Linked DNA regions of Xenopus tropicalis. The protein of the gene in region 2 purifies or fractionates together with the protein of the main gene of each other region. This does not show direct contact. Links are inferred from orthologs where the notes say so. Each region holds a gene or a part of one and is shown on either strand. Other genes may lie near its edges.

Evidence for each region.
Region 1: the proteins of fgfr1op2 (region 2) and pdcd10 purify together in Homo sapiens (affinity purification with mass spectrometry; 3 studies listed by BioGRID and IntAct, counting the BioPlex papers as one, with this or other methods). This does not show direct contact. The link is inferred for Xenopus tropicalis from reciprocal best matches to the Homo sapiens genes FGFR1OP2 and PDCD10.

The regions. Positions count from the first base shown.
Region 1 is NC_030681.2:112,902,753-112,913,372, forward strand, and holds part of pdcd10 (programmed cell death protein 10), read left to right. Parts: intron 1-5,073; 5' UTR 5,074-5,171; coding exon 5,172-5,267; intron 5,268-6,204; coding exon 6,205-6,258; intron 6,259-8,230; coding exon 8,231-8,348; intron 8,349-8,495; coding exon 8,496-8,622; intron 8,623-10,216; coding exon 10,217-10,295; intron 10,296-10,620. UniProt on the Homo sapiens protein: Promotes cell proliferation. Modulates apoptotic pathways. Increases mitogen-activated protein kinase activity and STK26 activity. Important for cell migration, and for normal structure and assembly of the Golgi complex.
Region 2 is NC_030679.2:2,582,092-2,593,216, reverse strand, and holds fgfr1op2 (FGFR1 oncogene partner 2 homolog), read right to left. Parts: upstream 9,034-11,125; 5' UTR 8,930-9,033; intron 5,580-8,929; 5' UTR 5,575-5,579; coding exon 5,440-5,574; intron 5,215-5,439; coding exon 5,097-5,214; intron 4,430-5,096; coding exon 4,287-4,429; intron 3,926-4,286; coding exon 3,812-3,925; intron 2,953-3,811; coding exon 2,812-2,952; 3' UTR 2,223-2,811; downstream 1-2,222. Other genes in the region: endoul (poly(U)-specific endoribonuclease), read left to right, coding at 61-173, 368-521, 693-956. UniProt on the Homo sapiens protein: May be involved in wound healing pathway.

The DNA.
Region 1 (10,620 bases), on a different chromosome or scaffold from region 2:
CATGGATCATTTGCACCTCTTCTCTTGGCCTGCTTTTTTTCTTCAGGCTGAGAGAAACTGATCTGCTCCCATATGTCACTCTGTGTACCGGCACTAAAAAGTATAGCTTCCACCTTAGTGCAGATACAGGAAGTGGAGGTCTGAAAAAAGCGAAAGCGTGGTTTTTCTGGCCAAGCTCTCCTACACTTCATGTATCTGCACTCAGGTGTAAGCTGTTCTTTTCAGTGCAGGTACACGGAGTGGCGTATAGGAGCAAATCCGCTACTCTCAGTCTGAAGAATTAATGTAGACTGAGAGAAGCTGAGCAAACACTCCATGTGTCCAGGTCCTAACTGTATTTTAGCCTGTACCAACCCAGTAACTCTTATTTGTTAGGCCTACACATGTGTACACTTCTCAGTGAGCCAGCAGTATTTTACAGCTCTTGTGTTTGTAAAACTTTGCCCTTTCCTACACAGCCTGCTTGCGTTGATCACCGATTTAATTGACTAGTTTCCCAAGCAGCTGCATACAAATTTAGACCCGGAAGGGGAATGGCACTAGTGCTAATATTTCACAAGTGCTAGGAAAATAGCAGTTAATGAAGACAGTTAAGCAATGGCAAGGCTCAAGGCACTGGATTATCTGCAATTAACAATGAAGAAGCTGGGAAACCAAGAAAACAAGTTTGTTTGCAACTGATAGTTTGTTACTTCCAATTTTAAATATGTTGTAGCCTTTTATTTCTCCGACTCCTTTGGACTTCTCAATTCTATATCGGAAAGGCTTAACTCTATCTCTCCTCTCTTGATCTCAATTCAGAACTCTTAAGTGGGTTGTTCACCTTTAATGTCCGAATCTTATTAAACCACCAACAGTGCTCTCAGAGTATCATAAAATCCAATTTTTCATAAAAAAGTAAAAAGGCCACTGTAAAATCTACCTTTTATACCTGTTAAATCAGTCCTTCTGTCTCTCTGACCAGTTTTCTGAAGAGATGGGAGTGGCCTATTTTGAACCTGAGAACTTCCTATATCTTTACATCACCACTCCTAGGCTTTGTCCTTAATTTTTTCCTATTGGACCAATTCATTGGCTGCCTGTGCACTCTAATCAGACTCTGCATATCTAATCTAACCCCCCCATAGGCTCTGTGCAGAAGTGATGGATTAGCAGAGAGATGATTCTGAGGTGAATTTATCTTCAGCTGCAAATTTTTTGTTAACTATTTATATGGCAAAGATTGTTCTATTAATGTGAACTGTTACATTTGGGAATGTTTTACAGGTATGGGACCTGTTATACAGAATGCTCTGGACCTGGGGTTTTCCGGATAAAGGATCTTTCCATAATTTGTATCTCCATAACTTAAGTCAGCTAAAAATAATTTAAATATCAAATAAACCCAATACGCTTGTATTGCCTCCAATAAGGATTCATTATATCTTAGTTGGGATCAAGTACAAAGTACTGTTTTATTACAGAGAAAAAGGAAATTATTTTCAAAAATTAGAATTATTTGCTTATAATGGAGTCTATGGTAGATGGCCTTTCCGTAATTCGGAGCTTTCTGGATAACTGGTTTCCGGATAAGGGATCCCATACCTGTACAAAGGTGAACTACCCCTTTAATGCGGGTCTCTTCCTGCTTATCTGCTTTCTCAGAAATCGCAGAAGTGTCCTCTCAAGGCAACTTCCACGATTTCGGGAAATTGCGGCGCCGCGTATGCGTATTTCCGGGAAATTAGACGCCCGTAACAAGGGAGATTTGTCGCGGGCGACTAATCTCCCCCGTGTGCCACAGCCCTTACTCCATATCCAGTCACTCATTAAATCATGTCACTTTCACCTGAGCAATATTGCCATAATGTGATCATTTATCACCAATGCTACCAAAATTATGATTTACTTTCTCATCATGTTATGCTTTGATTACTGATTAACTGGCCTTCCCCTGCAAAGTCACCTTTCCAGTTTATAAGAAATAGTGGCTCTAGGTTCATGTACCTCAGTAACTGACCTCTTCTGCCATGACCCTCACATTCAATAACTCTGCCCCACTCTACATCTCTGAAAGCCTCTGCAGATATTCCCCAAACCAACTTTTTATGTTTATCTAATATCCCCCTCCTCACACGAGCTGCATACTTTCTTTGGAATTCTCTCCCACCGCCTGTCCAACTCTCTTGCAATCTTTCTGCCTTTAAAATATCTTTTAAAACACATTTCTTTAGAGAGGCTTTCCCTCATCTAGCTTAGCATAGCTTCACTGTGCACTATATACTGCTAAATGCAATGTTCCGTTCCACATCTTTCACCTGATATTGCCCGTCCTTAACACCTTAACCCCTTCTCCTTTTAGATTGCAAGATCTTTTGGACAGGGCCCTCTTTGCCTCTTGTATTGGTTGTTTTTTTTTTAATATATAATGTATGCATCCTTTTCTACAGTGCTGTGAAATTTGTTGGCATTTTATAAATAAGTGTTTTATGTCTCAATGCCCTGGAGTTTTGTCTAGAATGTTGTGTAATGTCTGGTTTGGCACATTCCAAAATGTTATCTGCTAATACACCTATTTGGGAAGTACATTGCCATATGAAAATACTTGTTGGCCTAAAAGAGAACATTGGAAGGTAGGCATACATTTATATCTTTCATATGGCTTTGATCGATTAGGCTGGCCAGTCTGACAAATACCATAGAGCAGTGCTGTCCAACTGGCGGCCCGCGACCCCCCTCTGTGTGGCCCCCCCCACCTGTCTGGCTGCTTTGATGGCTTACCTTTGTGTAAGCTTTAAAGGAGAAGGAAAGGCTAAGTCACTTGGGGGTGCCAAAATGTTAGGCACCCCCAAGTGACTTACATGACCTACCTTGTACCCCGGGCTGGTGCCCCCGTTAGGAGAAAACAGCACCAGCCCGGGGCACCTGTAGACACCGCTTCCTCCTTCCTTTGCGCGCTGCTGCCGAAATCCGTGGGCCGGCGCATGCGCAGTAGAGTGAAAAGCCGACTTTAATGTTTAAGTTCGGCTTTTCACTCTACTGCGCATGCGCGCGCAAGCGAGGAGGAAGCAGGTAGCGCCGGCAGCTGCCCCGGGCTGGTGCTGTTCTCTCCGTACGGGGGCACCAGCCCGGGGTACAAGGTAGGCGTTCTAAGTCACTTGGGGCCTAACATTTTGGCACCCCCAAGTGACTTAACCTTTCCTTCTCCTTTAAATGGTATCAGTACTGCCCCCCTGCATGGTTAACACCTCAGATTCAGGCTGTAAACCCCCTGTATTGTTTAAAAATGTAATCCACTGTATTATTCACCCCCTGCAGTGTTCACACCTCAGGCTCAGGCTGTAATCACCCACATTGTTCACCTGTTCACACCTCAGACTGTAGGAGCACTAGAAACCCACAAATAAACCTGCACACTATAAAAAGAACATATACTGTGGTGGTACTGCAATTAAAAAGGTTTTTTAATATATAGTTATTGTGCAGACTGTGGGAGCAGTGCCAGCATTGCGTCACTGTAGGCTGCCTGTGTGTGCCATACTCTGCCTACCCTATTGCTGCCTGTATGTGCCATACACACAGGCAGGGTAGGGAAGGCAGAGTAGGGCACACACACACACACACACACACACACACACACACAGGCAGGGTAGGGCACACACGCAGGCAGAGTATGGCACACACAGGCAGGGTAGGGAAGGCAGAGTATGGCAGGTTTTTGCTGTACTACCACCATAAATATGGATATGGTCATGCGATAACATGGGTGTGGTTTTAAAAAGGGAGGTGGTCAAAACTAGCTTCCATTATCGGCCCTCCACCACGGAGGCCGGAAAAATTCCGGCCCTCGGTAACACAGAAGTTGGACAGCACTGCCATAGAGGACTGACCCCATGTATGGGCACCTTTAGTCAGATTTCCCTATGCTGCACCACAAAATCTGCATTCCCTATACATTTTTCCCTCAACTAAACCATTTATAGAAAAACCTAATCAAAAAAACATTTTCAAAAACGTTTAAAGGAGCATACCTGCTTACTAATCTTAAGTTCATTGGTTAGGGCTTGTGCTGTTTTTTTTTTTTTTTTTTTTTTTATTGCCTGCTGTTTCAATTGAAATATGTATGTATTTTTATATCTTTCCCTTAACAGGGGAACTTAAGTCATGTACTGATTCATGTTTGTATAAGCACAATCAAAACAATTGGTACTCCACTAAGAAGCCCCATCTGTATTATGAGCTGCTTTTTATTAAAAAGCCTAACAAAGGCATCTGAGTGGACTGACAGTTTGTTTTAAGTGTGATTGTACAAACAGTGCAATAATGTGAGTTTACATTCAGTTTTAAATGTTGCCCTGTTTAGTGCAAGAATTAGAAAGCAGATATTGTGCCCTTTTAAATAAGGGCAATTAAATGGATTTTCTTTCTTGGGAGCCTGATACATTGAGCTTACAGAAAAGCCATTATTTGACAGATCGGATCAATAGAAAGTCGGCCATGCGTGACTTCATGATTTTGGGTTGGATGCCTACTGATACTGCCTTAAAGGAGAAGGAAAAGCTAAGTCACTTGGGGGTGGCAATATGTTGGGCACCCCCAAGTGACTTGAATCGCTTACCCCGTACCCCGGTCTGGTGCCCCTGTACGGAGAGAACAGCACCAGCCCGGGGTACCTGCAGCACTTCCTCCTTCCTTCTTTGCCGCGCGCGCAGTAGAGTGAAAAGCCGAACTATAACAGAGAAGTCGGCTTTTTCACTCTACTGCGCATGCGCCTGACTCAGTCAAGGCTGAACGGAGCAGGAAGGAGGAAGCGCATCGCTCCAGGTGCCCCGGGCTGGTGCGGTTTTCTCCTAATAGGGGCACCAGCCTGGGGTACGAGGTAAGCGATTCAAGTCACTTGGGGGTGCTTTAACATTTTAGCACCCCCAAGTGACTTAGCCTTTCCTTCCCCTTTAAGGAGATAATTATTCTGCACAGTTGTTTTCCTGGATTTAAAAACACTATAAAAGCTCTTAATATTGGGGAAATAATGCTGTAAATTTGTATCTTATTTATGTTGCTTTTTTTTTTTTTTTTTTTTACCGGTACTTTTAGGAAAACAATTTCTTGATCATATTAGAGCATCAACATCCCACTGAATGAAGTATTCCTGGTTTCCATAGCATCATTTTCTAACTGTACGGTCTCTTTGAATGAGGATGACAATGGAAGAGATGAAGAATGAAGCAGAGACCACTTCTATGGTTTCCATGCCCCTTTATGCAGTTATGTATCCAGTTTTTAATGAGGTTAGTAGATCTTTGTGTCTCAAATTTAGTTTTGTCAACGGGGGGGTAAATAAAAAAAAAAAAAAACTCTGTTTTTCTTGTGTAATCAATTATATCAGGAGTCATGGTAAGGAATGCAGCTTATCTGTTCGTATCTGTCCTAAAGTTGTCCTGCTAAATTATGCTTGGTACAGGGAATACCTTTGCTTTAAGGGCTCTGGCACACGGGGAGATTAGTCGCCCGTGATAAATCTCCCTTTTCGCGGGCGACTAATCTCCCCAAATTGCCATCCCACCAGCGAAAATGTAAAATTGCGGCGCCGCGTATGCCATCCCACCGGCGATTAACATTCTCGCCGGAGGGATGGCATTTCGGGGAGATTAGTCGTCCGCGAACAGGGAGATTTGTCGCGGGCGACTAATCTCCCCTTGTGCCAGAGCCCTAATAGTGATATGTTCTAGCTCTGTACAGGCTACTGGGGAAGAGATGAGCTGAACAACATTACATTTTCTGATAAAAGCCAGCATGTAGTTGTAGATCAGTGCAGTAGTAATGAGGCACTTTTTAGGCAAAGTTAAATTGTAGGATTACATTCATTAATGTATTTTATTGCTTTTGGGGTGGACAAGTCTAGTTCTTAAAATTATCTGAGCATACCATAAGTCATCTTACTATTTACAGTATTCTCCATTTAAAGAGAAACCTATCTGGTCTTATAGCTGTTTTAAAGGCAGTACGTTATGAGTATGTTTTAACTCCCAATACAATTTCTGGGATATGGAATTTTTTTGTGACTCTTCCCATTTACAATGTATGGTCAGGAAAACATTTGCTTGTTTCTCAATGCATAATGAGGTTTAAATCCTTTGATGCCACAGTGTTATTCCAATTCTCCATGTTCTTCTAAAGTTTCTTCAGTCTGTTAATGTTTTGCATTCTGTCTGCTTTCCCATCCAGCTAGAACATGTAAATCTTTCAGCAGCTCAGACACTACGGGCAGCGTTTATAAAGGTAAATTGTTTCTTCTATCTGCATATCACCCCAGGAAAGGTGCCAGTTTTGACTCGTGGGGCTATTTTACATAGATAGAGATATCCAGGGCTGCCTTATTAACTTTTTCTGAGAAGGCTACCCCCCCAGTGGGACTATGTACACTTGAGCATTTTCAGTCCAAAATTTGCCCCATGGCTGCTGTGATAGACCAATGCAGTCTGCACTTGAGGTATTGGGCACTGTGTGTGACTTTGACCTAGAAAGTTTTATGGAGGTAGTCTGCTCCAAGATTTTTTTTTTTTAAATTCAGAATAGTACTAAATAACTCCTGCTGCTATGACACTGGCACAGTACCTAGTTGGCTGAATCAGGCAAACATCCACCATTTGGCACCATTGCCAAGCGAGTGGATCTTTCTATGTGTGCCCAGAATTGGTATATTCTAACAACTATCACTTAATAAGAGAGACTGTTATTTTCAGGGTAAACTCAGAATAAAATGAATGGAATACAGAGCACTTCATTATTTTGGAAATGTCTGTATTTATTCATTGCTCCTTAGGGCTTAAAAATGGATATCCCGGAATATATGACTCAAAATAACAGCAGTAGTTTACATGAATGGTTTATTTAAACCTCTTCATAACTGAACATACTGGATGTGACTTTTGTTAGACAAGAGCCCCTGTTGAGGGTGCAAATGCTTCTGCAAGTGTTTTCCATAAGAATGTGTGGAGTTCATACCGTTTGAATTATTAAATAGCACAGCCAAGTCCAGCAGACTTTAACACAGAGATTGTTCCTATACCCCTTAGGGTTGAAGTTATATATTGGTTTATTTTCCTTTTAATTTCCCACATCAGAATAGCAATCAAGCATTTGAAATGCAAATGTAATTAAAGATTTTCCTTCTGACCCAAGGGGAGCAGATACCTCTTGTTTGTTTGCCAGGGTGACCTACATTCTCTTCTAGATGTAGCAGATTAACTGTCTGCATCTCTTTCAGACACTTCCAGTGAGTCATTTGCTTAAAGGCATGCTGTGACTGCTGGTCTGCTTTATAGTGGAGCTACACCAACTCAACCAAATTTCTTGTGATTCTGCATTTTGCCCCCCCTCCTTCAGCTGAAAAAACTATCTGTTATATTGACCTGTTCACCACCTTTACAAAAAATTAACTGCTCCATTTGCTCAAAATGTAATCTTCAGAATTTTTGCAATTTACTTTTCTTTGTTTTGCAGTGGTTGAAACTGTTAGTAAGATATCATCCCAAAATCTTGTTTATGTGCCAGAATTCGGTACCTGATGCCCATGCCCAGGCTACACAATTATAGACAGTGGGAGGGAATGAGAGAAGTGCAGTGACATCTAGGAAGTGCAGAATGGAAAGTAAAAGTAATTGCCTGCCCGCCTGAGAAATAGATGTTATTGACAGCAGATATTTTTTGTACCTTTTTATAACATATATGAATTTTTTAATAAAATAATTTGGGTTTTGTGTTTAATTTGGAAAGAACTTTTATTATATAGCTTTATATATCTGGGTGAATTGAAGACACAGCTGCTGAGCTGACAGTCCGATATTGGAATCCCAAAATTACAGATATGTTTAAAATAGCTCATAGAGCAGTCGGGGGGAAATGTAATGATTGGGCAACTTTAAAGGCAATGTAAATATATGTTCTAAAACATTAGCTATTACTTTTAATTTTAAACTTAGAGCAGCATGGTGATGCCCTGGTCTGTTTTTACTGCTTTGCTTTCCAATAGACCATACCCCCATTTTGCCACCGCAGTTGACTTATGCGAAGTAGGCAATTTATAAATGGCTGTATTTGCACCATTGACTTAAAAGTGTTTATTAGAATTATCTTTCTTGTATTCACAACTTTTAATGCTCCAATACACAGACATGAATAAAAATAGGTTGCACACATTCTAATGCTGTCAACATTAGGAAACCAATGTATCTGTTTCTTTATTTCGCAGGCAGAAAAAGAAAATCCGGGGCTCACACAAGATATAATTACAAAAATTCTTGAAAAGAAGAGTGTAGAAGTTAACTTCACTGAGTCTTTGTTGCGCATGGCCGCTGATGATGTTGAAGGTAAACACAAAAACACACATCTCTGTATAAGTGCATCTCCTCAGTTACAACCTTCTCCTGTTCATACACCTCTAGTCTAGGAAGTATAATGATTATTGAGGATTATTGCTGCCTTTGCTATTAAACATCCACATCTTTATTTTTTAGAGTATATGGTTGAACGGCCAGAACCAGAATTCCAGGAATTGAATGAAAAAGCACGGGCACTTAAACAGATCCTTAGCAAGATTCCTGATGAAATTAATGACAGAGTGAGATTCCTACAGACAATCAAGTAAGCACATTATGCACATCTACTAAGCACTGGCATATCCTATGTGCCCATGGGATGCTGTGAGGATTATTTTATTTTTGAAGATTGTATGCAACGTCTAATAAAGAAAGTGATAAAGCGGTTCCTGATACATTAGAACATTATCGTCTCAGGTCAGGTTGTTAGGAGACATCAGCACTAGTTTACCTGGAAAGGGTAAATGTATTAACTGCCCTCTCTTCTTCCTTTTTCTCCTCCCACAAGTACCATAGCTATTTCGTTAATTAAACAGGCAAAAGTATTTTTAGCATAAGCTCTATTCAGTTTGTTAACCCAATGGTTTATAGTGTCCCTTTAAGCTAAAGATAGGAGAGCAAGGAATAAGAAAGAAGTCATGTGCATTTCGAGACTATCCTGGGGAAAGTTCAGGGTAGTTTTTCCCATTTCTGTTAACTTGTGCACCACCCTAAACAAATGCACTTAAAGGAACAGTAACACCAAAAAATGAAAGTGTATAAAAATAATATATACTATTGCTCGGCACTAGTAAAAGTTGTGTGTTTTCTTCATAAACACTACTGCAGTTTATATAAATACCCTGCTGTGTAGCCATGGGGGCAGCCATTTAATTTGAAAAAAGGAGAAAAGGCACAGGTTACTAAGCAGATAACAGATAAGTAGCATAGATTCCCATTGTATTCTACACAGTTTATCTGGTATCTTCTTATGTAACCTGTGCCTTTTCTCCTTTTTTCAATTTAAATGGCTGCCCCCATGGCTACACAGCAGCTATTTCTATTAACTATAGTAGTCTTTCCGAAGCAAACACGCAACTTTTACCAGTGCAGGGCAACAGTACATTATATTTTAATTATTTTAAAACATTTTTATTTTTTAGTGTTACTGTTCCTTTAATATGTTGATGGTAGAACTGCCAGTAGGTTTAAGGCCATGATAAGCCACTCATTGCTGTTCCTAGTGGCTCCGGAATTGTCAAACAAGACTTCTCTTAGTGAAAGCATATTGGATCAATGGAGACTGCTCAGAAGTGGTGTTAGGAAAACTTTATTTCTCAAAGCTTGTAAATTTCTAATCATTATTCAGTTTTTGGACACAATAAGGCTCATTTAGTAATGGCAGGCACTAGGGATGTTAGTGCAACATTGCCCCATTTATCATTCATTGCACATACTGATTGCACCTGGGGCTTGGAAAGATTAGCTACTTTGCATTCTTGTTCCAATTGCACATCTTGGTTGTATTACAAGATAAGGGAGCCCTAAACACAGCACTTATTCTGACTGCCACCATTATTGTATTTGGCTCTGGCAAAGAGTTACACCAGATGGAACCGTCTATTGTGGGCTACAGCATGTGCCTGTTCTTCCACCCCCACCCCTTGTAAACGAACCCTAATATTTGTTTCATTACATTGTTTTGTAGCCTGTGCTAAATATTTTGTTGTCTCAAATGTATGCACAGCATGCTAAGCACTGTATATGCCACAATACTTGTATATACAAAATGTATTATCTGTTTTAGGACAGCAACAGTGTTGAATCCAAGGTTCAAGGTGTGCTAAGATAAAATTATTTTTTTTTCTTTAACTTTATAGAGACATAGCTAGTGCAATAAAGGAGCTTCTTGACACAGTCAACAATGTCTTCAAAAAGTATCAGTACCAGAACCGCAGAGTAAGTAGCTTTGCCATATTCTTTATTTACATTGATGCTTTATCCACTTCCACTTGTAAACAGTGTTTGGACTTCACAGCTTTACCTTCACCACTGGGTTAAGCTGGCCATACACGCACCGATAATATCGTACGAAATCTCGTTTCGTATGATATTCGGTGCGTGTATGGCAAGTCTGATATCGGTCGACTCGCCGATCGGGCCAGTTAAAAGATTTTGATCGGGCGCCATAGAAGGCGCCTGACCAAAATCTGCCTCCATCACTGAATCGGCAGAAGGAGGTAGAAATCCTATTGTTTCTACCTCCTTATCTGTCGTTTCAGCC
Region 2 (11,125 bases):
CCATATTGGCCCATTAGCCCCTTCGGCAAAGCCCTAACGGCCCCTCTCTCTGCCCCACAGATCGCACATGACTACTTGGTGAGGAAGAACCAGGCCAAACCCAGCCGTAACGACTTCAAGGCCCAACTCTACACCATTTGGTTCCAGCTGTACTCCCGGGCGCCGGGGCAGGGGTAGGTACCAGGGTGCCTTGCTGGTGTTGCCCCTATGCAAGAAATAGCCAGGGGTATCACACAGCAGTAGGTAGGCTAGCAGGGCAACAAGGAGGCACTTTCTACCACTGGTGGCCATTAAAATGGCAGTTAAGAGTTGTAGTTCCACCATTCCAAGGTACAGTTGTAGTTCAACCATTCGCCTTGCCTTCCAGACCCGATTCCTGCGGCTTTGAGCACGTGTTTGTGGGGGAATCCAAGCGAGGGAAGGAGATAATGGGGCTCCACAACTGGGTCCAGTTCTACCTCCAGGAGAAGAGGAAAACCATCGACTACAAAGGCTACGTGGGGCGGCAGAACAAGAGCCGGGTAAGTCGCCCACCGCTAGGGGGAGGGACACGTTACACGCGCTAACACTCCATATCCTGAGCCGTGTTTCCTGGGGGTGAATTTCTTCCTAGATCACTTTTGACTTTTTTTCGGCAGCAGTGTCTTGCTTTACGGCAGTGCATTAATACCGCTCTCTCTGTCGCTCCGCAGCCGGACCATGACGACCAAGTTCTGAACCTGCAGTTCAGCTGGAAGGAGATGGTGAAGCCCATAGGGAGCAGCTTCATCGGGGTCAGCCCGGAGTTCGAGTTTGCCCTTTACACCGTCGTCTTCCTCACGTCCCAGGAGAAAATGACCCGAGAGGTCGTCCGCGTGGAGGAATACGAAATGCAGATCGTGGTGAATCGCCACGGGCGTTACATAGGCACCGCCTACCCCGTCCTCCTTAGCACCAATAACCCGGATCTGTACTGAGGGGCGTATATTTATTAACACTGGAGATGTTCCCCATAGCAACCAATCAGATTTCAATGGTTGAAAAAACTAAAGCAGAGATGTGATTGGTTGCTATGGACAACACCATCGGTGATGTTTGTCTCCAATGTTAATAAATACACCCCTAAACCTATGTTTACAGCGCTGGAACCGACCCGGTCAGCAATGAGTTAATGGGCATTTTCTGCCCCCCCCCCTCCAGGCTGGAAATCTCTAACTACCCCCAAAGGGACAGTATGCCAGTGCCTTGCTCTGAGAGTGCAGGTAGCACAGCAGGGCCTCTCTAATGTGAAAGTTCTGTATTGTATATTTACTGGATTTTGATTGGTTGGCTGGGAGGGGGCGTTACTATTCTCTCCCAGCCTATATGGGACTTGTTTAGGAGCTTGGAACGACACTGTGCCTTTCTACTTGCACTCATTTTGTTTTAATTGCTTTGTGCTTTGCCTTTAACCATTAAAAGCCAATTAGACTTCTGTGTTGGATGAGAATTACTCCCTTGTGTCTTATTGGTGCTGTGTATTCAGCAGGAACAGCCCCCTAAGTTTGCCCATAGCCTGTACAGAGAGATACCATAAAACTATGGCACATAGGGATTCCCCTGTACTAAGCACAATTCAGCAGGAACAGCCCCCTAAGTTTGCCCATAGCCTGTACAGAGAGATACCATAAAACTATGGCACATAGGGATTCCCCTGTACTAAGCACAATTCAGCAGGAACAGCCCCCCTAAGTTTGCCCATAGCCTGTACAGAGAGATACCATAAAACTATGGCACATAGGGATTCCCCTGTACTGAGCACAATTCAGCAGGAACAGCCCCCTAAGTTTGCTCATAGCCTGTACAGAGAGATACCATAAAACTATGGCACATAGGGATTCCCCTGTACTAAGCACAATTCAGCAGGAACAGCCCCCTAAGTTTGCTCATAGCCTGTACAGAGAGATACCATAAAACTATGGCACATAGGGATTCCCCTGTACTAAGCACAATTCAGCAGGAACAGCCCCCTAAGTTTGCCCATAGCCTGTACAGAGAGATACCATAAAACTATGGCACATAGGGATTCCCCTGTACTAAGCACAATTCAGCAGGAACAGCCCCCTAAGTTTGCTCATAGCCTGTACAGAGAGATACCATAAAACTATGGCACATAGGGATTCCCCTGTACTAAGCACAATTCAGCAGGAACAGGCTCTGTAATGGGCTGCAGAATAAAAAGATAATAATTTGAGTACAAACCGTAGAAGAAACCATGAACATTTTATTGTTGGTTTAGGCAAAGGTAAGTATGCACCAGGGACAGCTCTACTGTCACAGACTCAGTATCCTGACTGTGTTCACTTGGGGGTGTTGCAAAAACAGTTTTTTTTTTGCTGGGTGGCCCTTATTGGTTAGGGTGCCCCTGCTCATTCATCATTGGCCAATTCCCAGGAATGATATTGCCAGCCAATGGGATTGTATTGTTTGCATACGGAGAGCAATACAAGCAAATGCAGCCATTTTACCCCCTAGCACAGTAATATAAGGATCGCTGGAATGTTTGTGGATACAATATATCCATATATTCTATAAAACAGCACTTCATGGACTTCGGGTTTTCATAAAATATTTCCTTTTGCTCCAGAACGAGTTAAAATATAAGCTCTCTCACCTTCTGGAGTCGCCGGAGGACCAATAGGAAACGGCGCTGATCCGGCGCACACACAGACATAAAATGTAGCCGCTATTTACATTCCGGGTGCTGCTGCTCAAACACCCAGTGATCCAATGGCACCGGCTGGTTCCGCCCGTACAACAGGTAGAAACTGGGGGGCCCGGGGGGGGGGGCGCTCAGCTTTTCCTTAAGCTCAGGTCGGTGTTGGGGACCGACGACGCAGAGTGGGAGGAGCTTTCCGCCGCGTCTTCTTTGTGCAGATTAAGGAAAGATGCTCGGGTGATCTGTAGGGTTTTCCTCAGCCACTTGTTTTCCTGCTGCGGGTAAAGAAAAGCTCATTTCAGCCAATCAGCATCAACCGTCTTACATATCCCTCACCTTTTACTTCCTTAAAGGGGATGTTCCCCTTTGAGTTTAGCCTGATCTAGAGAGTGATATTCTGAGATCATTTGCAATTGGTCTTCATTTTTTATTATATGTAGTTTTTTAATTATTTCAGTTTTTGTTTAGAAGCTCTGCAGTTTGGAGTTTTGGCAGCTAGCTGGTTGCTAGGGTCCTAATTACCTTAGGGACCAGGAAGCAGTTAGAATGAGAGGATAATATATGAATAGGGGAGGGGCTGAATAGAAAGATAAGGAATAAAAAGTAACAATAACAATAAAACTGGAGCCTCACAGAGCAATAGGTTTTGGCTGCCGGGGTCAGTTATCCTGTTGCTAGGGTCCAAATTACCTTGGCAACCAGGGATGAGAAACTGGTATATGAATAGGGGAGGGGCTGAATAGAAAGATAAGGAATAAAAAGTAACAATAACAATAAAACTGGAGCCTCACAGAGCAATAGGGTTTGGCTGCCGGGGTCAGTGACCCCCATTTGAAAGCTGCAAAGAGAAGAGGAAGGCAAATAATGTACAAACTATAAGAAATAAATAATGAAGACCAATTGAAAAGTTGCTTGGAATTGGCCATTCTATAACGTACTAAAAGCTACCGCCCCTTTAACCCTTGCTTATGCAAGTTAGGATTAGGATTCAGTGCAGTATTCGGCCAAATCTTTTGCAAAGGATTCGGTGTTAGTGGTGCATTAAGCCCAACCCCCTGGCTCTGTAACCAATGGCGTTGTCTCTTTGCCGAGCCTTCTACTGACTGAGCAGTCTCACAGCCGGCAGGTACCTACCTCCAGTTTAACGATGCGGTCGTGCTCTTGGTTACCCTGCTGCTCGTCGATTTCAATGGCCCGTTTCATTACCGCAGTCATTTCGGTGATTTTCTCTATGTGGGCCTGAAGCTCCTACACGGGGGGGACAATCAGGGGGACGGTCGTTAATTTTCCCATTTGATAATTCTGCACTTTAAATTGGGGGTTGGCCCCCCCTGAATTACAAAGCTTTGGTAGTTACCTGCACTTACGGCATCAGAAACCTTGGGGCCCCGCACAAGTTCATTTAAATGCCCCCCACCATGAACACAAGCGTGTAGTACCAATATTTTAGCCACGCCCCTTGTTTTGGCCACGCCCCTTGTGCACACAATATAAATAGTTCATATACATAGTTGCACTGATTAATGTGCTAATAAGTCAGTTTATTGGGGGTCAGTGGGGTTTGCCCTAAGTTTAACCCTTTCCCACCTACCTCAGGGAGAGAATGTACCTTGGAATGTTGCTCTTTCAGCTTCATAATAATGCCGGGGTCGTCCTTTTTGCTGGCCATCAGCAGGCGGAACATCTGCTCCCGGTACTTACTCATGATGAGTTCCAGGGCCGACTGGTGCTCCTTTAGGGAGGTGCGTAACTCTGTGAGACACAGGGATCAGCTTTGTTACATCTCTGCACTAGCCCCCTCACCTTTAAGTATGTTATAGAATGACCTACTCTAAGCAACTTTTCAATTGGTCTTCATTATTTATTTCTTATAGTTTTTGAATGATTTGCCTTCTTCTTCTGACTCTTTGCAGCTTTCAAAAGGGGGTCACTGACCCCGGGAGCCAAACCCTATTGCTCTGTGAGGCTCCAGATTTATTGTTATTGTTACTTTTTATTCCTTATCTTTCTATTCAGCCCCTCCCCTATTCATATACCTGTCTCCCATCCAAACTACTCCCTGGTTGCTAAGGTAACTCGGACCCTAGCAACCAAATAGCTGCTGAAATTCCAAACTGCAGAGCTCCTAAACTGAAAAGGAAATAACTATAAAACTACAAATAATAAAAAATTAAGACCAATTGCAAACTCTCTACATCATACTAAAAGTTAACTTAAAAGGTGAATCTTCTCCCTATATGCCACATATCATGCTAATTCAATATATAATGCACTATATAAATACATCGAGCCCATAGGCGCCATTGGACAGGAAAATCAAACCTGCCCTATCAGGATCTGCCCAATTTTAGGCCAGACATTGGCCAGGCAGGCCTGGCAGGGGAGCCCATACATGGGCAGATAAGCTGGCGAATCCAACCTTTGTTTTCCTGCTGAAGTTGGCGAATTTGCCGGTTCTCTTGCTGGATGCCAAGGACCAGAGTAGAACGTGGGCGGTGCCGCGCGATCTCATTCAGCTCCTGGACCTCCTCTTGGTACTGTAAATGCAGCAACAGGTCGTGTCACACTCACACTCATACTCAATTGCAGGCTGACATTTCAGCACCTTCCTCTGTCCTGAGCCTCCAGCTTTAAGCGGGGACAACTCCCCAACAGCCACGGGGATGCAGGGAGTTGTAGTCTACACAAGCTGGAGGGCTGCAGATTTAAAAGCAAGGGGCCCGCTGGGCACCAGTAGATAAAGGCTGTGGGTTGGGCATTACCTGTTTCATGGCTTCCACTCGTTTATTCAGCGTAGTCGTCTGCTCAATAAGCACTTCTGCCGCCCCATCGTGTTCCCGCAGTCGCTCCACTAAGGCTTTAGCGTCGGCCAGAACCTTCTCTATGGTACAGCTCATGGTTCCTGGGAAGAACAGGAGTGTGTGAGTGAGGGTGCCAGTCAGTCAGTGAGTGTAGGAGTGAGGGCGCCAGTCAGTCAGTGAGTGTAGGAGTGAGGGTGCCAGTCAGTCAGTGAGTGTAGGAGTGAGGGTACCAGTCAGTCAGTGAGTGTAGGAGTGAGGGTGCCAGTCAGTCAGTGAGTGTAGGAGTGAGGGTGCCAGTCAGTCAGTGAGTGTATGTAGGAGTGAGGGTGCCAGTCAGTGAGTGAGTGTATGTAGGAGTGAGGGTGCCAGTCAGTGAGTGAGTGTATGTAGGAGTGAGGGTGCCAGTCAGTGAGTGTATGTAGGAGTGAGGGTGCCGGTCAGTCAGTGAGTGTAGGAGTGAGGGTGCCAGTCAGTCAGTGAGTGTAGGAGTGAGGGTGCCAGTCAGTCAGTGAGTGTAGGAGTGAGGGTGCCAGTCAGTCAGTGAGTGTAGGAGTGAGGGTGCCAGTCAGTCAGTGAGTGTAGGAGTGAGGGTGCCAGTCAGTGAGTGAGTGTAGGAGTGAGGGTGCCAGTCAGTGAGTGAGTGTATGTAGGAGTGAGGGTGCCAGTCAGTCAGTGAGTGTAGGAGTGAGGGTGCCAGTCAGTCAGTGAGTGTTTGTAAGAGTGAGGGTGCCAGTCAGTCAGTGAGTGTATGTAAGAGTGAGGGTGCCAGTCAGTGAGTGAGTGTATGTAAGAGTGAGGGTGCCAGTCAGTCAGTGAGTGTATGTAGGAGTGAGGGTGCCAGTCAGTCAGTGAGTGTATGTAGGAGTGAGGGTGCCAGTCAGTGAGTGAGCGTATGTAAGAGGGAGGGTGCCAGTCAGTGAGTGAGTGTATGTAGGAGTGAGGGTGCCAGTCAGTGAGTGAGTGTATGTAAGAGGGAGGGTGCCAGTCAGTCAGTGAGTGTATGTAAGAGGGAGGGTGCCAGTCAGTCAGTGAGTGTATGTAAGAGTGAGGGTGCCAGTCAGTCAGTGAGTGTATGTAGGAGTGAGGGTGCCAGTCAGTCAGTGAGTGTATGTAAGAGTGAGGGTGCCAGTCAGTGAGTGAGTGTATGTAAGAGGGAGGGTGCCAGTCAGTGAGTGAGTGTATGTAAGAGTGAGGGTGCCAGTGAGTGAGTGAGGGTGCCAGTCAGTCAGTGAGTGTATGTAGGAGTGAGGGTGCCAGTCAGTGAGTGAGTGTATGTAAGAGGGAGGGTGCCAGTCAGTCAGTGAGTGTATGTAGGAGTGAGGGTGCCAGTCAGTCAGTGAGTGTATGTAAGAGGGAGGGTGCCAGTCAGTCAGTGAGTGTATGTAGGAGTGAGGGTGCCAGTCAGTGAGTGAGTGTATGTAAGAGTGAGGGTGCCAGTCAGTCAGTGAGTGTATGTAAGAGGGAGGGTGCCAGTCAGTGAGTGAGTGTATGTAAGAGTGAGGGTGCCAGTGAGTGAGTGAGGGTGCCAGTCAGTCAGTGAGTGTATGTAGGAGTGAGGGTGCCAGTCAGTCAGTGAGTGTATGTAGGAGTGAGGGTGCCAGTCAGTCAGTGAGTGTATGTAGGAGTGAGGGTGCCAGTCAGTCAGTGAGTGAGTGTATGTAGGAGTGAGGGTGCCAGTCAGTCAGTGAGTGTATGTAAGAGGGAGGGTGCCAGTCAGTCAGTGAGTGTATGTAGGAGTGAGGGTGCCAGTCAGTGAGTGAGTGTATGTAAGAGTGAGGGTGCCAGTCAGTGAGTGAGTGTATGTAAGAGGGAGGGTGCCAGTCAGTGAGTGAGTGTATGTAAGAGTGAGGGTGCCCAGTGAGTGAGTGAGGGTGCCAGTCAGTCAGTGAGTGTATGTAGGAGTGAGGGTGCCAGTCAGTCAGTGAGTGTATGTAGGAGTGAGGGTGCCAGTCAGTCAGTGAGTGTATGTAGGAGTGAGGGTGCCAGTCAGTGAGTGAGTGTATGTAGGAGTGAGGGTGCCAGTCAGTCAGTGAGTGTATGTAGGAGTGAGGGTGCCAGTCAGTCAGTGAGTGTATGTAGGAGTGAGGGTGCCAGTCAGTGAGTGAGTGTATGTAGGAGTGAGGGTGCCAGTCAGTGAGTGAGTGTATGTAGGAGTGAGGGTGCCAGTCAGTGAGTGAGTGTATGTAGGAGTGAGGGTGCCAGTCAGTGAGTGAGTGTATGTAGGAGTGAGGGTACCAGTCAGTGAGTGAGTGTATGTAGGAGTGAGGGTGCCAGTCAGTGAGTGAGTGTATGTAGGAGTGAGGGTGCCAGTCAGTCAGTGAGTGTATGTAGGAGTGAGGGTGCCAGTCAGTCAGTGAGTGTATGTAGGAGTGAGGGTGCCAGTCAGTCAGTGAGTGTATGTAGGAGTGAGGGTGCCAGTCAGTCAGTGAGTGTATGTAGGAGTGAGGGTGCCAGTCAGTGAGTGAGTGTATGTAGGAGTGAGGGTGCCAGTCAGTCAGTGAGTGTATGTAGGAGTGAGGGTGCCAGTCAGTGAGTGAGTGTATGTAGGAGTGAGGGTGCCAGTCAGTCAGTGAGTGTATGTAAGAGGGAGGGTGCCAGTCAGTGAGTGAGTGTATGTAAGAGGGAGGGTGCCAGTCAGTGAGTGAGGGTGCCAGTCAGTCAGTGAGTGTATGTAGGAGTGAGGGTGCCAGTCAGTCAGTGAGTGTATGTAAGAGGGAGGGTGCCAGTCAGTCAGTGAGTGTATGTAGGAGTGAGGGTGCCAGTCAGTCAGTGAGTGTATGTAAGAGGGAGGGTGCCAGTCAGTGAGTGAGTGTATGTAGGAGTGAGGGTGCCAGTCAGTGAGTGAGTGTATGTAAGAGGGAGGGTGCCAGTCAGTGAGTGAGTGTATGTAAGAGGGAGGGTGCCAGTCAGTGAGTGAGTGTATGTAGGAGTGAGGGTGCCAGTCAGTCAGTGAGTGTATGTAGGAGTGAGGGTGCCAGTCAGTGAGTGAGTGTATGTAGGAGTGAGGGTGCCAGTCAGTGAGTGAGTGTATGTAAGAGGGAGGGTGCCAGTCAGTGAGTGAGTGTATGTAGGAGTGAGGGTGCCAGTCAGTGAGTGAGTGTATGTAAGAGGGAGGGTGCCAGTCAGTGAGTGAGTGTATGTAGGAGTGAGGGTGCCAGTCAGTGAGTGAGTGTATGTAAGAGGGAGGGTGCCAGTCAGTCAGTGAGTGAGTGTAGGAGTGAGGGTGCCAGTCAGTCAGTGAGTGTATGTAAGAGGGAGGGTGCCAGTCAGTGAGTGAGTGTATGTAAGAGTGAGGGTGCCAGTCAGTGAGTGAGTGTATGTAGGAGTGAGGGTGCCAGTCAGTCAGTGAGTGTATGTAGGAGTGAGGGTGCCGGTGAGTGAGTGAGTGAGTGAGGGTGCCAGTGAGTGAGGGTGCCAGTGAGTGAGGGTGCCAGCCATTGCCCGTACTTACCCTGTCACCCCACAAGCGGCAGATTCGGTCCCAGAGCTCCCAGCCCTTCCGTTTCCGCCCTGGTCCCGTCAGTGAAGCCAAACTCAGCTGAAACCGCAGGTGACGCTACGCGCATGCCTTCTGAGAACCTGTCAAGGACGTCACTTCCGGTGCAAAGGGCCGCCCTGAATATAATTCCGACTGGAAAACTGTATTTCACAGACGTTTCGCTGCTAGAGGTCCGGCTCCCTACAGCGCAAAGCCCTCTTGTAGCGGATATTCGCTCACAGTATCTTCCTGCTCATCTATTAAATTAGCCAATCACTGTATCTCCAGGCGATTAGTGCCCGCCCCCCTGGATAAGATCTACTAAAAACAGAAAGCGGCAGGGACCAAACAGCATGAAAGGGCAAAACGTACGATTAATGGGGTAGCGATGAGCTGCTCAGGCCTGTGACGGGAGGTGAGTAGGGAAGGACACAGGGGTACCCAGGGGCACCCTAGGACTTGTGGGACGGGAGTGCAGGGGGGGCAGGATTTGGGGAGTAGAACTGGGAAGAGAATTTGAGGGAAATGGAAGGTGGGGGGGGGGGGGGGTTCTACAGTTCATGAGTCTGAATAGTATGAGAGGTGGGAGCTGCCCTACTGCTTGTGTAGCCCCGGCACCAACATGTCTTCTCTCTCCCTGTAAGGTCAGAATGGTGAGAAAAGGAGACACCCCAGGTGCATCCAGACTCCCTGCATCTCGTCTGTAACGGCCATTGTGTTCCCCCCATCCCTGCATCACCCCAGCCCAGGGGGCAAAGGGTAAGTACCATGGATATGAAATATATACTGCACTCCATAGGTACAACTGGTTACATTGAATTGTAAGCTCACTGGGACTGAGGGGAATGTGATGGGGACCTTAGATTGTAAGCTCACTGGGGCAGGGACTGATGGGAATGGGATAGGGACCTTAGATTGTAAGCTCACTGGGGCAGGGACTGATGGGAATGGGATAGGGACCTTAGATTGTAAGCTCACTGGGGCAGGGACTGATGGGAATGGGATAGGGACCTTAGATTGTAAGCTCACTGGGGCAGGGGCTGATGGGAATGGTATAGGGGCCTTAGATTGTAAGCTCACTGGGGCAGGGGCTGATGGGAATGGGATAGGGACCTTAGATTGTAAGCTCACTGGGGCAGGGGCTGATGGGAATGGTATGGGGCCTTAGATTGTAAGCTCACTGGGGCAGGGACTGATGGGAATGGTATAGGGGCCTTAGATTGTAAGCTCACTGGGGCAGGGGCTGATGGGAATGGGATAGGGACCTTAGATTGTAAGCTCACTGGGGCAAGGGGCTGATGGGAATGGGATAGGGACCTTAGATTGTAAGCTCACTGGGGCAGGGACTGATGGGAATGTGATAGGGACCTTAGATTGTAAGCTCACTGGGGCAGGGACTGATGGGAATGGGATAGGGACCTTAGATTGTAAGCTCACTGGGGCAGGGGCTGATGGGAATGGGATAGGGACCTTAGATTGTAAGCTCACTGGGGCAGGGGCTGATGGGAATGGGATAGGGCCCTTAGATTGTAAGCTCACTGGGGCAGGGGCTGATGGGAATGGGATAGGGCCCTTGGATTGTAAGCTCACTGGGGCAGGGACTGATGGGAATGGGATAGGGACCTTAGATTGTAAGCTCACTGGGGCAGGGGCTGATGGGAATGGGATAGGGACCTTAGATTGTAAGCTCACTGGGGCAGGGACTGATGGGAATGTGATAGGGACCTTAGATTGTAAGCTCACTGGGGCAGGGACTGATGGGAATGGGATAGGGACCTTAGATTGTAAGCTCACTGGGGCAGGGGCTGATGGGAATGTGATAGGGACCTTAGATTGTAAGCTCACTGGGGCAGGGGCTGATGGGAATGGATAGGGACCTTAGATTGTAAGCTCACTGGGGCAGGGGCTGATGGGAATGGGATAGGGACCTTAGATTGTAAGCTCACTGGGGCAGGGACTGATGGGAATGGGATAGGGACCTTAGATTGTAAGCTCACTGGGGCAGGGACTGATGGGAATGGGATAGGGACCTTAGATTGTAAGCTCACTGGGGCAGGGACTGATGGGAATGGGATAAGGACCTTAGATTGTAAGCTCACTGGGGCAGGGACTGATGGGAATGGGATAGGGACCTTAGATTGTAAGCTCACTGGGGCAGGGACTGATGGG